3 linked regions of the Saccharomyces cerevisiae S288C genome follow. The gene in region 1 interacts genetically with each later gene. Each region holds a gene or a part of one and is shown on either strand. Other genes may lie near its edges.

Evidence for each region. Genes that interact genetically often act in the same process or in processes that back each other up.
Region 2: mutations in PPH22 (region 1) and RTS1 together harm fitness more than expected from each alone (negative genetic interaction), as found in Saccharomyces cerevisiae (3 studies listed by BioGRID, with this or other methods).
Region 3: of PPH22 (region 1) and OMA1, a mutation in one rescues a mutant of the other (synthetic rescue), as found in Saccharomyces cerevisiae (one study listed by BioGRID).

What each region holds. Positions count from the first base shown.
Region 1 is NC_001136.10:122,207-126,729, forward strand, and holds PPH22 (phosphoprotein phosphatase 2A catalytic subunit PPH22), read right to left. Parts: upstream 2,793-4,523; coding exon 1,659-2,792; downstream 1-1,658. Other genes in the region: RBS1 (Rbs1p), read left to right, coding at 10-1,383; YDL186W (uncharacterized protein), read left to right, coding at 3,410-4,243. UniProt on the Saccharomyces cerevisiae protein: Exact function not known, phosphatase 2A performs an essential cellular function.
Region 2 is NC_001147.6:354,561-360,642, reverse strand, and holds RTS1 (protein phosphatase 2A regulatory subunit RTS1), read right to left. Parts: upstream 2,970-6,082; coding exon 696-2,969; downstream 1-695. Other genes in the region: ERP4 (Erp4p), read left to right, coding at 1-182; YOR015W (uncharacterized protein), read right to left, coding at 291-650; YOR012W (uncharacterized protein), read right to left, coding at 3,687-4,100; YOR011W-A (uncharacterized protein), read right to left, coding at 4,785-4,991. UniProt on the Saccharomyces cerevisiae protein: The B regulatory subunit might modulate substrate selectivity and catalytic activity, and might also direct the localization of the catalytic enzyme to a particular subcellular compartment. Multicopy suppressor of ROX3 and HSP60.
Region 3 is NC_001143.9:602,500-607,087, forward strand, and holds OMA1 (metalloendopeptidase), read right to left. Parts: upstream 1,734-4,588; coding exon 696-1,733; downstream 1-695. Other genes in the region: DEAH-box RNA helicase PRP16, read left to right, coding at 1-573; TVP38 (Tvp38p), read right to left, coding at 1,906-2,919; TGL4 (triacylglycerol lipase), read right to left, coding at 3,134-4,588. UniProt on the Saccharomyces cerevisiae protein: Protease that is part of the quality control system in the inner membrane of mitochondria. Activated in response to various mitochondrial stress, leading to the proteolytic cleavage of target proteins, such as OXA1 and COX1.

The DNA.
Region 1 (4,523 bases):
AAGTAGGTGATGACAGCACTAGATTCTCGAAACTGGGGATTGACACCCGCTATGGAAACGGGCTTGTTCCAGAAACCACAGGACCGTATCTTTATAATAGAGCTGGAAAATTCCATAGTGTCATTCATAAACTCAAACACAGAATCATTTCAGCTAAGACCGATGAATTCATATTATAGGCTTCTATCGCACCAAATAGCTGAGTACCACAACTTGAACCATGTTTTGGCAAGAACTCAAGATAGTTGTGTGATTCTTTTCAAAGGTGAGAATTTCCAAAAGATTGAAGGAAAGCCACTCTTACAAGAGTTGCAGCTGAACAAAAAACCGGAAGAGTGTGCTTCCTCAAGTGAGAGTATTGAAAAATCGAACAATAACAGAATATTTCGAATCTTAAAGCGGAAAGAGGTAGGTAACGAGTGCGATTATAAAATCGATGGCAATACACGTACACCAAATAGCAATTTGACAGCCAATTCAAATAAGGACCAAAAAATCGAAATCGATGATAAATCTAGTACTGATTTGGAACAAGAAAGAATTGAGAAGGAAAGACTTTATGAACAACGTAAACAAGAAATTTTTGATAAGCTCAACAAGAGTGAAGACGATGTAAAGTCAACCAACAGTAGCGGTAGTAGTGATAGTGACAATGAATGGAGTGATTGGTTGAACGGAGATGACTCTAACACACAAACTAGTAACGGTTCAGTTAGCTCTTCATCACCATTCAATTCATCTGTGACGACGATACAAGTAAACAAACCTCAACAACAATTTTATGATAGTCGAAGAGGAAGAGGAGGAAGAAGAAGAGGAACAAACAATTACAAAGATGCCTATAGAGGCCAAAGTCGTCGGAATAAAGAAAACGGCGGTTACCAATCGGGATATTCTTCGCCATATCTTGTGTATCCTCCTCCCCAAATGGGTGGCAATAGTCTGCCAACCTACCCTCTAATGTATAACCCCGCTGGTCCTGCCCCCGGTCCTGCACCTTCACCCATGGTAATGGGCAATAACACAGTCTTCATGAACCCTTACATGTACAATATGAATCCCCAAGGGTCCTGTTCGTTTGGCACCCCAATCCCTATGTATCCCCCATACCAATATCAATATCAATACCAATATAACACTCAGTATCACAGCGGGCCATATAGCAATACACCAAGCTATAATTCTAACAATTACACAAGATCCTCAGCAAATAAGTACCACCATTTTCAAGGAAAAAATTCATATTCTGGTGCGATTCCGAAACGTAGTGATGACAGTAACAGTAATAAGAATGAGGGAATTCGTAGGGCTAGTGTTGAGGGTTCGCCGTCATCTAGGGATACTGATTCGGTAGAGATGAAATTTGATAAATTAAACATTTAGCGTGAGGAGTGAACTATACATAGCGAAAAAATTACGTAACGGTTTATAGAAATTCTAGTATGAGAACAGTAATATATGAGAAAAAGTTGTTTTCACTTTGTGTTCGAAAAAATAAGTATTTGAAAACGAAAAAATAGTTTGTATGTTTGTATATAAGTTGTTATTATCAAAAATTAGAGGGAAAAAGTAACTAAATATATATTAAAAAAAAAAAAAAAATAAATGTATGTTGGAATGAAATAGCGTAGTAAGGATAAAGGTGTAATAGATATATATTATAAGAAATAATCCGGTGTCTTCCTGGTGACGGTTGGTTCACCGGGTCTCACAGATGGATCGTATTGTAAGAATTGCCTATTATGGTTTTCATCCACCTCCATAATAGCGGCCTGGTTACCACATCTATAACAATAATTTGGAGCACTGAAAATGGTGACAACATTTTGCTGGTGAGACCAAGAATATCCTTCCATTACCAATTGGTGAGCTCTTGCTATTAGTGATAGGTCATTAGTGTGATTGAATTGCTCACTGATGTCTTGACCAAAAGTGAAGCCTGCACCTCTCGGACTGATTCCCCATCCGCCTCTATCATCAGGATCGGACCATAGAAGGTCACACATTGGACCTTCGTGAGGCACTTCCTGTATTCTATTTAAATCTCTAACTTGATCTATTGTCTCTATCATGGGTGAGAGACCTCCATGCAAACAGAAGATTTTATTATCCACCAAGGCAGTAACGGGGAAATAATCGAATAGATCGGTAAACATTTTCCACACGTTCGCACTGCCGTACTTTCTCAAACATTCGTCATAAAACCCATATACTTGGGTAATCTGCCTAGACTCGTGATTGCCCCTAAGTATAGTAATTCTATGTGGATATCTGACTTTCATGGCAACTAGGTAAGATACGGTCTCAACAGAATAATATCCTCTATCCACGTAATCACCCATGAAAAGGTAATTGGTGTCAGGACAAGGACCACCAATCTTGAAAAGTTCTAACAAGTCATGGAATTGACCGTGTACGTCACCACAAATGGTAACAGGCACGTTAATTGGTTTAACATTCTCCTCGAACTGCAACACGTCCACCGCCATTTTACATAGTCGTGCTACATCGTCTTCTGATAGTGGCTCGCATTTACTCAAATGCTCAATCCATTGGTCAAGCTGATTTATATTTGTATTGGTCAGTTTTAGTGGTTTGGAGGATTTATGATCTGCTATACCCGAGGACCCCGGTTTAAAATTAAAATCTTCCAACTCTTCATCTGTGTCTTCGTCATTAGAACGCGCCTTCGTATTATTTTTGCCGTCATCACTATTCATGTCTTCGTCGAGAGTCGGTGATAATTGATCTTCATCTGAACCATGCATAGGGTCATCAATTTCCATATCCATTTTTTTCGAATGAAAGCCAGTTATACAGAAGTGCCAATAATATAAAATTCAAAAAAAGACGTAACAGGAACAATAACCGGAAAGGAAAGAGAGCAGGTAGGACAAGAAGTAAACGGGTTTGCGTGTTCTTGTTCGAACACTGTTTTGCAGCGGGCTGGTACCTTAAGAAGTTTGCTCTAGTTACAGCCCTTCAATTGGTTTTATAAAATGGGGATGTCCCTTTGAAACTTTCCACGACTCTTTTCCACAATTCAGCGGAAAAGAAAATAATAACCTCTTCTAGATTACCCGGTCATGTCAGGGTAATACACGATTGTATTTCAAAGTGCACAACGACTATTGTTGTCGTATAAGCTTTTGGATTAATCTTAGCATTAATTGATACATAATTCCGCAAGAAGAAGTTTTAGGAGAATAGAGTTTCGCTTCTTTTATTAATATTCTGTCCTGTGTCACAAAATATTGTAATAATTTGGTGCGGTGTATGGGTTCAAGTTCCCAAAAAAACAACTAATTTGCGACACTTCGTAGTTCTGTGCTTTTATATGGAATATACTTGTGGACTCTATTCCTGGATGTAGATTTGCTTACAGATAGCCAAGAAATATTAGAAAAATATGCAGTGTAACACAAGTATAGAAGATGGTTTAGATGGGGGCGACATAACTTTCCCATCCTACAGCCCTGAAGCGGAGGCTCAAAACAGATTCTTACCAAGAAGTGAGTTCCCCTCTGTGAGGCAACTCGTGATTTCGAAACAAAAAAGCAGAAGAAGAAGAGAAGAAAATGTATTTGTGGGAAAAATGGAGGACGTACTTGTAAAATGGAGGCCACCTGCATCTTCACATCGTGGCGCAATTGAAGCTATTAATGGCACGCATCCATATCAGCTTAGCACAGCACAATTCAACTCGAGAAGATCGGATCCATTTGGTTCAACAAAGAGAGATGAATCCGTGCGTTCCATTGTAGAATCGTTTACCGATTGGTGGAAACGCAATTCCAAAATGTTTTTTCGTGACGAGGAAGAAGGTGTACGAACCGAACACAGTGCGAGTCAAGATGACCAAGAGTTGCAGCTTTTCGAAGAAGATCTCTTCTCATTTCACCTAAGCCCAAATGATATGTCAACCAGGAACAGCGAACATCAAGTGCAAACACCGGTGCTTTTCCCGTACGAAGCTCCTACTCGAACAAAACAAAACCCAGCAGAAAGAAAAGTCATTGAAATTGGGGACGGCGAAGAACTCTCTATCTATCGAGATGTTTATTCCAATCCTATTCCTGTCAGCTACCTAGATACCTTAAACTTGAACCACTCCATGTCTGTACGGCAAACACAACAGCAACAACAACAGCGGCAACAGCAGCAGTATGTAGACTCTTCATCGGCATTTCAATGCTGTACAGACTCCAATTGGGCGAGAATATTTTTTTGCCACCACGATTAGACTCCACTTTGCTTCTATAGTCCTATCTATTGTTCTTTTTATTCCTAGCATAACCTTATTGTATTGTTCTTTTTCTTTTTCCTTTTTCTTTTTTTTTTTTTTTTTTTTTTTTTTTTCACATCTTTTTCCACGGCCGCTCAAAGGGGTCTCACACTGGATTAAAAGCTGAAAACAAGAAATGGCTCTTTCGATAAGGTTGCAACATTTTGATTACTACGTTGATTAGAATAAAAAGTACCAAACACATTTCTCAAAGCATATAGATATCTAAGATTATAAC
Region 2 (6,082 bases), on another chromosome or scaffold:
TCACCAAAACAATGGATTATTTAAGGGCTAGAGAATGGAGAAACATGTATACTGTGAGTTCTACTGAGTCAAGATTAACATGGCTCTCATTACTAATTATGGGGGTAATGGTTGGTATCAGTATAGTGCAGGCATTAATTATTCAGTTCTTTTTTACCAGTCGCCAAAAAAACTACGTATAGGTTGCTTTTCAAGCTCTTAAAATTGTTGGATCAGCTGTGCTAAGGGGAAGGCACTTTTTTGTATCATGATCCTATTTTTTTTGTTATTTAATTATTTATGACATACCTTTATACTTTAGTTTTCAAAAATCCAATAATAGATAGGCAAGGTTTACGGAAAAGAGTGGAGTGCAAAATAAATAGAGGAAAGGCAGAAGGAAGAAGGAAAGCGAAAAGAAAAACGAAGATATATTTGGAGAAAAGTATAGAAATAATAAAATGAAGACACATCGATTGAAGTATGCTCAAATGATGAGAAAAAGAGACCTTTATCTCAGGCCACAAACAACCATTGTCCAAGTGGCTTATCTTTGCTATAGTTTTGTTCGAATATTCGGGGATTCTATCTTTGGTTTCTTCAACAAGTTGACCCCATTTACCAGTTCTTTTTTGCTCTTCATATACTGCTGCTCTTTTGAAATGTGGCATGCCCTAAACTTCCTCACTTCTTCGAGCTTGTAATGAATTGCTGTTTCACTGTATCTCGCTGTCACAATCATTTTCGTTCTCTTCATTTAATGTGTTATTCTCACTTGCTGTGTTGAAACTGTTTCTTAATTCTGGGTTTTTGATTGTGTATTGGTCCTTATCATTGTTAATCCTTAGATTTTTTACATATTCTTCAAGTTTGCTCCAATTTTCTTCACGTTGCACCTTACGCTGTTGAGTTTCTTTTACACTTGATAAGTACAATGCATTACAGTTTTCGTACAATACTGGGTTTGTTTCCAGAAAAATTTTCAATGCCTTGAATGCCATAGCATGAATTGCCCTATTCCACGAACCAGAATTGATTGCTTGCTCAACAAGCATGTAAGGGTCTGAAATGCTATCTTCGCCATTTGCTGTATCTAGCTCTAACTGAGAAGTTAATTCATATAATGCAGGAAATATAATGGGTAGGATGACTTCGGCATTTTCGATACATAAGTTTAAGAAATATTCATTATTCCAATAACTTAAAACCTTTTCCGCCACTTGGAAATGTGGAGAAGAAATACACTTAGCTAATTGAACAAATAACGGAACTTCTACTTTAATAAATTCCAGCGGTTCGATCACTTCAAAAATATCCTCGATTTCATTTAGAAACATTATCTCTTTTGTGGAATTTATTTTTGGCCAATAACGCAGTAAGCCCATAACTACCTCTTCGGTTAATAAAGGATCTTTTTCGAGAAATTGAACGATACAGTAAGCCAACTGAGGGTGGTATAATGATAAACAACGGACCTTGTGTAATGGTATCAATATCCTCACCAAGAAAACCTTGTGCTCTTCCTTTAATGGAAGTGCAAATCCATTAATTATGGAACCCAAAATTTCTAACAATTCTGCCACACCGTTAAACTTCTCAGTCTCATAAATAAATTGCAAAAAAATATTATTCATCGACCGACGAATAAAGCTTCTTAATGATAAGAACTTCCCATATATTCTATGCAGTGTCGTTTTCAAACAGTCTCTTTCTCTGATATCTTCGCTATCAAATAATTCCAGTAACTTTAAAATAAAGTCCTGATCAATATATTGTTTAGCAATCTGATGATTGAAATCAGGACTTTCCACAAACCTTAAAAAGAATTCGTAAACAGCTTGCATATGAGGCCAGGCTAGTTCGTTAACAGGTTCATCTTCATCTGGGTCATAAATGTCACCAACTGGATTTACTGGTGGTGGAATAGGTCTAAACAGATTGATTTTGAACATGTTCACCACATGAGCGTACATCTCATTCGTGTAAGTGAACCTATTTGTTACAAGGAATTCTATTAGCTCATCTAAGGTGCTTCTTTTAATCTCTTTACCTTGAATGTCAAAACTTGGATCATTAAAGTCAAACATAGTGTTACACTGGTCAACTTTGGCAATGAACAAAGGGATTCTTTCTTCAGGAGAAACTTCATTAAAATTTGGCAATTTCGTTAATGGCGTATATCTAGATGGCTCGAATCTAGATGAAGAATGACGTTGGGGAGTCTTAATTAACTCTAAATCTGTGTCAGGGTTAAGTTTTGTGGGTGTTGGTAGTCTCTCAAATGAGTGTGATGATCTCGGAATGTCGATACTTTGTGAGGAGGCGTGGTTTGCATCCTGAGTATTACTAGTATTAATATTCATATTGTTATTATTACTATTACCATTTTCTACATCAGAAGAAACTGCTGTACCTGAAGCATTTGAAATGGGAGATGATGGAACAGCGGATACTGCCCCCAGCAAAGTAGGATGTGCATGATCTTCACCAGAAGTGCTTTTGTCGTCCTTAGTAACAGTGAGTACTGGAGTGGGGTTCATTATAGCGGCAGATGATGAAGAAGATCCTTGCTTTTGAGATTGTGATGGCTGTTGCGATTGTTTGGACTGTTCTTGTCCTTTTCTTGAACTTGTTTTCTTTGTGGAGCTTGAACCGGAGCGACTGACACTTGAACTTCTACTGCTACTGCTGCTGGAAGAAGGGGTCGTCGCTGTTTTTGTTTTTGATGTAGAGCTACTATGATGCTTCCCTTGCGAGGGAACACTACCAGATTGCTTGCCCTTCTCAGTTGTAGACTTTGATCCGGTACTGCTGGCAGAACTGTGAGTAGTCCCGTGGGAAGAGCTACTAGCCGAAGCGGGCTTCTTTGATGTGGATGAGGTAGTGGAACTTTTTTCTTTTTCCTTCTCTTTGTCCTTCTTTTTACTGCTTGAAGAAGAAGAAGACCCGGTGGTCTTCTTTATTAATCTTTGCTTGAAACCACGCATCATATTGAAAGTGGATGTTCGAAAATAGCACGTGCCTATTGATCTTAATAAGTAGAACTTTTATACAAAATAAAAAAGCCAGTTAAAGACGGTATTGAGGTGAACAGGTATATGGAGAAGGGTTTATATTTTTATCTAACAAAAAAAGGAAAAAAAAGCAAAATCGAGGGGGGAAGGAAATGAAACCCAAAATACTTACGGCGACGATGGTTTATCCTTGAAATGAAGAGTTTTCCAATGAAGAAACGAGACGTATTGACATGCCTACCAATTGAAGTGGAAAACAAAGCGTAGTTTCACATACTCTTTGATAATCAATTGTCTGATACTTTTTTTTTTCCTTTCTCGCAGCCGGGATAGGGGGTTGTGACCCGGCAAAAAATGTTGGTCTAAGTTTTATTGTTGCTATATGCTCCATACATACAATAAATGTCTATAAAATTTTTAGAAGAAAATCAGGCGTGAAAGATGGTGTCTGCATCTTTGTGGTAGAGCATCAAGTAGGCCGTGAATCCCTTCCCCTGCGGATCGGGTTCTCCTTTGGAGTTCACTTCTCCAACCCCGAACTGAAACACCAAATAGGTTTTGAAACCGAAATATTCGTACACAGATCTTGCGTGCTCCGAAATAGCCTCGAGAGCAAGGGCGCAATTGGCCTTGTCTGCTTTGGTTTTATATTTTTCGAGTATTTTTCTGACTGAACCTCTAATTTCGGGATGGCTAGGATCTTTTCCGATGGCATAAAGGTAGTAATAGTCCATTCCCAGAGGCATGACTTCGTGCTTCCTCACAGTCAAGTCGTGAAAAAAAAATCTTATTGAAAGACTCGTCGTCAGATAGTGTAGCAGGCAAGTGGCACCCAGGGCGGCTCCATATTGCGACTGCATCGAAATCATTTGCCTCAGCAATTTCACCATCCAAGTCATGGTAGCACGTCGTGTAGTAATGTATCATTGCATTTATTCTTGCCCTTGAAACTTTTTCAGTGATTGGGATATGGAAGAACTTTTTCATCAAGTAGTCATTTGCGTATGACTTTTCGAATGCCTTAAACAAAGTTTTCGAAGCCTTCTCTACATCGCTTGTCAAGTTTACCGCCAAAGAGGATTCTTCATTGATCGATGATGCTACCATTATCAAAACTATTGATTTGTTTTCAACGTTCTGATTAGTATTTTTGTCACTGCCTTTTTCTATTGTTTCTTTTTTTGCATTTCTTATAGTAACATAAAAAACACAGGAAAAAAAACGTCGTTTATTATATCAGGAGTAAAGGATTTCTGCCCAAAATGTCAGGAAAATTACGATATAAAACGTACTATAAGATAACAAGCGGCTGAATAATTTCTGAGGTCAGAACCATAAGGGTACTGAAATACTATGTGCTAGATTTTTTATTTATTTTCTTTTTCTGATTGATTATCGTTTGGTTAAAATCAGTATGATATTATATATGACTTGCTTTATAATATATCAAACCGACATAAAAAATTATCCTACTCAAAAAAGATCATGGTTGTCCCCGCGTTTCACTTCTGTTATACCATGCAAATTTTTATATCAAATGAGTAATTCTTTCATTTCTTTCGGGACCCTTTACGAAGTAGTTGTTATATCTCCACTGGCAAGGCCACGAACTGACAAAAAAGGCATGATATAAATTGTGAGAAATTGTGAGTTAATTTAATAATTATGCGACGAGATGATAGAAAGGTAAAGACGACTTTTTGAGCCGGATCTGTTTACGTCAGTAAATTCTCGCGCCCCAAGACGTTATGAGGCATAAAATTTATTGCGTTCAGTTTTCTAAAGAGCTCACTATCGGTGATAGAAATCTTTCTTTTTTATTATCTTCTTGTCAGTAGTAATGTATAAGCACCAATATTGAAATGTCCAATTTTTTCGGCTCTTCCCAAGAACTTCAAGAGAGCAGTAGTATGGAAGAAAGTATTGTGAATGATACACAAAACGGTTTAAATACTCCAATATTTCAAAATGAAAGAAATTGAAAACCGATTTTGCCATTAATAATGATTGCTTATTATCCTTTAGTGAAGAAGTTTGTATTGAACTTCAAAGCTGATTGAAAAATCATTATATTTGAACACGTCGTGAGAAGACATGTGTCCAAGTGCATAGTTATTTAAGGCTTCTACGCTGCTTTGTCCTTTTATTACACATTATAATGAGTCTTCAAGATATTTGACTCAGTATGTATAAGAGAATGCTTCCATTGAGATAGTAAGATGATACGTATTGTTACAATACTTGATAATAAGATGCGTTAAAATATTAGTTAAAATGTTAGCTAAAGTTGTACAATTATTCAAGTCGGTGGAACAATAACACTCATTTTATATTTAATTTGTAGGCTGGTTAAATTTAATAACACTTCTTAGGGCTCTATTTTTATGAACAGGACATCATATTATGTAGGCAATAACTTCCGAACTTCGTAATTGATTTAATTGATAATACGACCTATCGTGAATATGCTAAAAGTTCTTTTCGAGGATATAGAGATTCTCGAAGAGAGAGAGATATTCTAAATAACAATATACATATATATATATATATATATATATATATATATTCCTTTCTTGCTTCTTTTTTGTACATTATGTAACTATATTTCTTTCTCATTCCAAATATTCAAATGTACAGGTATTTAATACCGCCTCAATTGATTTAGCGGTATTTTATTTTCTAACAGCTTAGTTATAATACTAAATATACAAAATATATTAGAAGCTCTTTCTCAAGGATATAGGAACCTGCCAAGGAAACCCATATTTCCACATAATGTTACTATTATTATTTCTTCTATTTTTTATGTTGTCATTCATTATCCTATTACATTATTAAATCTTGCATTTCAGCTTCCATTAAATCAGATGACTGTTTTCAATCCTTTTTTATCTTTCTACTCCGTCTACCACAATATAATAGCTTATGAATACTCGCCGGTAGATTATAGTCGATTCTTATTCCAATAGTTTGTTCCTCCAATGACGTTATAACTAATCATAAAGCAATATAGCTAAATTAGGTACCTAATCTTAAAAGATTTTCAGATTTAAACTAATCCTTGTTGCCTATCTTAATTTGAATATTTC
Region 3 (4,588 bases), on another chromosome or scaffold:
TTGCTAACAATACTAAAATCTCAAAAAATTCCGGTCATTTCCTCCGGTAAGGACTGGGATATTATTAAAAAATGTATTTGTTCAGGATTTGCTCATCAAGCAGCCAAAATAACAGGACTACGAAATTACGTTCATTTAAAAACTGGCGTAAGTGTTCAACTACACCCTACAAGTGCATTACACGGATTGGGGGATTTACCCCCTTACGTGGTATATCATGAATTATTAATGACTAGCAAAGAATACATTTGTTGTGTTACTTCTGTAGATCCATTCTGGTTAATGGAATATGGTGGGTTACTCTACGACATCAAGCGTATTAAAAATGATCAGGAGGCCACAACTACAGGCCTCTTTGGTGAACACTATGAACATACTCTGGACAAGGTTGAAGATGATATTGATATCAATATTAGGAGATGTAAGGATATGAGAGACAGTGTGATACAGGAGCTCAAAATGACCGACAATTCAAACAAAGAAGACAAAAAGCAAAAAACGAAAAAGCAAAATATACTGAACGGCAAAGAAAATTCAATGAAACCTTTCAAAAGAAGGAAGCCTTTTTTTTAGTTTATGGGAAGAGCGTGCTAATAGGCAAAATATTCATATATGTTATTATATAGTTATATGCATGCATAAAACAAAGGGTTATTTATTGGGTACAAAAGAAAAGAGCATAACTCGTGGAGTGCTTACATTGAGAAAAAACTTTTATAATAGTTACCCATACTGCTACAATCAGATTGTTCATAAATTTCATTAGCTTTTGGCAACCATTTCGACATATTCTCTATTCTACGAGTGCTTGCTGGATGTGTACTTAGAAACTCCATATTCACAACACCCCCTCTATTCATTTGCTTTTCAAAATTTGCCATTCTTTCCCACACTTTTATTGACTCCTGTGGTTGAAAACATGCCCTTGACATTATCATCAGGCCAATGTAATCAGCTTCGGTTTCCATCTGTCTTGATGCTGGCATTCGCAAAAACCCATCCAATAGTATATTGTTGATAGCATGAGCTCCAGTAACAGTATATAACACCAAACCCAAAAGAGAATATATAGGAGCCTTCGACAAATTTTCGGCTGTGTGTCTTGCTAGCTGATGAGCAAATTCGTGTGCTAAAACAGTGGCAATCCCATCATCATTAGCACAAATAGGTAAAATAGAGCTGAATATAAAGACCTTACCCCCTGGTAAAACGAATGCATTTGGTGAAGCAGTTGGATCATTGACCACATGAATTTCCCACTTGATTCCGTCCAGTAGTGAGTTGTCTACACTAGGGTCCTTATAAGCAGCTTCGACAATTTTCATGAAAATATTCTCAATTTTGATGGACAGCGGATGCTGTGGAGGTAATATTTCCTGCTGCGTTTGTCTCCAAATTGATTTGTATGTGTAATTTCCGATAGTTAACTCTAATGGACGCGATACCCAGATGAACCTGGACCTATCGCTTACCGGTGCTTTATCCAAATGTGTATAATAAAAGAGAGAGCATCCACCAAATAATAAAGCTAAGTATTTTCTTGATGACTTATCGAGAAGAATGCTTTTAAACGATGATTTTTGGGAATACTCTCCATTATTAAATCGACGATATGAAGGACCATTGTCATAGCGGTAACATCGCGTTAACTGAACACGAAATGATACAGGTTTTAAAAATCCTCCACTGGTCCCTTTTCCAAATCCTTTGAACCTGATGATGTTGCGTAACATTTCTTGTATTTTATCTTTCCATACCTTAACTTAGATTGGTTGATGTCGCTTCGAAAAACTGCTTTTTGTCTTTTAAGTTCTTTATATCGGACGTAGAAAGAAGTAGAAATAGTAATTTGGGTTACCCATATAAAACCAACTTATCTAAACATATATAAACGTATACGGAGGATTAGACCTCAAAAGACAATTCAGGTAGTTGATCAGTGGACACTTGACGGTCGCGGTTTTGTAGTTCTAAATATCTCTTCTTAGTCTTGAAGTATAAGAGCCATGCTGTAAGACTTAGGATTAATAATGTGATAATAATGCTTACCAAGTCAAATACCCTAGATCCTGTAGATTCAGATTCTGCGAGACTCTTTACACGAGAACCTATAAATAGATAGATGAACAGCTTTGGTGTGGTTATTATGTTGGCAATGGAAAAGTTGCGTACCGAGATACCGTAAACACCAGCTATGGCACCATTAGTCAAAGAATATGGGAAGGGACATAATCTCAGTAGAGCTAGAATCCAATAGCTATTGTTTTCTTGTAAAATTGAAGCCAATGCTTCAAATCTTCTATTCAAATGCACAAGCTTTTCTGCTCTTGAATGCAAGATCGTCTTGAACACAACGAAAGAGGCAATGGAACCTGTTACAGATCCCAAAGCTAGCGTAACCCATCCCTCAAAACTGACACCATAGATCAACCCAGTAGTGGTGGATAATAAGGAGTAGCCAATCATAGGAGGAAATGCGACAAAGAATATCAGAACCATTAATATAAAATGTGTTGACATCTTTTCTCTCAAATCGTTCGAAGTAACAACAACTTTATGTAAAATCGCATTATGGAAGACGAGCAACAATATACCCATTATCATTAGCATTATGCCGAGGAGGACAATGATAATCTGTTGCCATAAGCGTAGTGAATAAAAATAAAACTGTAATTTTTGAACATTCTTCCTGATATTATGCATCAATCTCTCTCTAGGGGACATATTATAAATGTCTAAAAAATCATCATCATTAACATTTACTTCGTCATTGAATGACAATCCAGCATTAGTACCAACCCTTTGTCCATTATTACTATTTGGCATGATATCGTTGTCAAAGTCTTCGAAATAGCCATCAAATTCATCATCCTCCCCTTGGCCCATATTGGCATTTCCTGCTTCGTAAGACTGACTCATTTGTGTAACCAATATCTTTCTTCCACCATAATAATATTTTCAAATATGTTGAAGGTATTGTTTTAGTAAAGTGGCTTTTTTTCTTAGTGCAGCTCGAGAGAAAACAATGATTTCGATTTCCGCTTTGAAAATGATATGAATGAGAAAGGCCATTCGAATAAATACATAGATGAAAAAGAATATCTAGAGGATATATAAGCAAGCCCGTGTTTTCTTATTGAGTAAAACTGGTGGTGCTTTTGTGCTGCGTTGAAGAAGAAGGCCTCGATCGAAACGGTGAGCTCTTTGTAGCTTGAGAAGGGGGTCTTCCATCAATGCTATGACGCCTGAAATTGCCCGCTAAATCACTATGAATCATTGCGTCTGAATCGAAGTTACTTATCAGTCTCAATGTAGGATGGTCTTCTTTATCCGAATCTGTGTATAATATGTTGCTACTGCTGACCCATTTTTTGTTCATATGCCTCAAGTATCTACTCTTTCGGCCAAAATGCAATTTCTTGTCTACCATGGCAGGTGTTTCAATGCTGGCAGAATGTGGGATAAGTTCATGGCTTTCCGGGTCATAGGTCTTGGCATCCATAGGAAACATTAGCCGGCCCATACTTGTTTTTTTCTGCAGAATTGGCGGTGGGTGTCCATTGATTTTGCTGGATTGCCTCAACATCCTTGATGTGGGAGAAGCAACTGAAAATGAAAAGGATTTGGCTGGTCGCCTTGAAGTTGAAATAGTATCTGATTTCCTTCTTTGGTGACGCGGATTGAGAGAAGCGGACGTAATGGAATACCGCGGTCTAAACCCGGAAGGTGACCGCCCATATGTGCTTGCATTCTCACGTAACAATAGCAAAGAGTTTGTCGATTCTGATTCTAATAAGTTGTCATCTAAAACATTGGAAATATGATTGTCACCCTTGGTTGGAGTCCTAGTTAGCAATGTTGAATTTTCTGGGTTTTTGGACTCATCTGACGTTTGCTCTGGAGCTTTAATTAATCCAATGACTGAATCAGCAAATTGGAAGGGGGTTTTTAAAGAGGAGGTGACAATCATCCTACCTTTGATATAAGAAATCGCCTTATCCAGAGCAAATTCCTGGCCACAGTGATTTTGAATAATGGAAACCTTGGGCCACGTAGCTTTTGCACCATTGGTGATTTCCCTTAATAAAAATTCTTTTGTTGGGTTTGACAACAGCTCCTTTATTCTAAAAAGCATACACATGTCGGGCAAAATAGTGATGTCACCAGAATATTGTTGAGATAATACCGATCTCAGTTTTGTAAGCGCGTTTTTGGCAATTCCCATCTCACTTCCAATTTCTAGAATATGAATAGCTTCATTGGCCATAAAATTGTATATACTTGATAAGTTTTGCTTTAATCTTGCACTAAATTCGTCCTCAATTTCCCCGCCAACACAGGATAGTGATAGTTTCAAAAAGGGAAATACGTGAATATTCACCTGGCATGCGATAATATGGTCTACATTAAACATTTCAGAAAGACGAGAAATGGGCAAGTCATTGTCCACAGAACCATCGACAAATTTGACCGAACTACTACCAGTCCATGGTTTCCTTTCTCCCGTTTTTGGATCTTTTTCGTAAAGTGGGCTCGAGGGGAAAATTCCCGGTAGTGAACATGATGCACATACGGCGGACCAAATCAG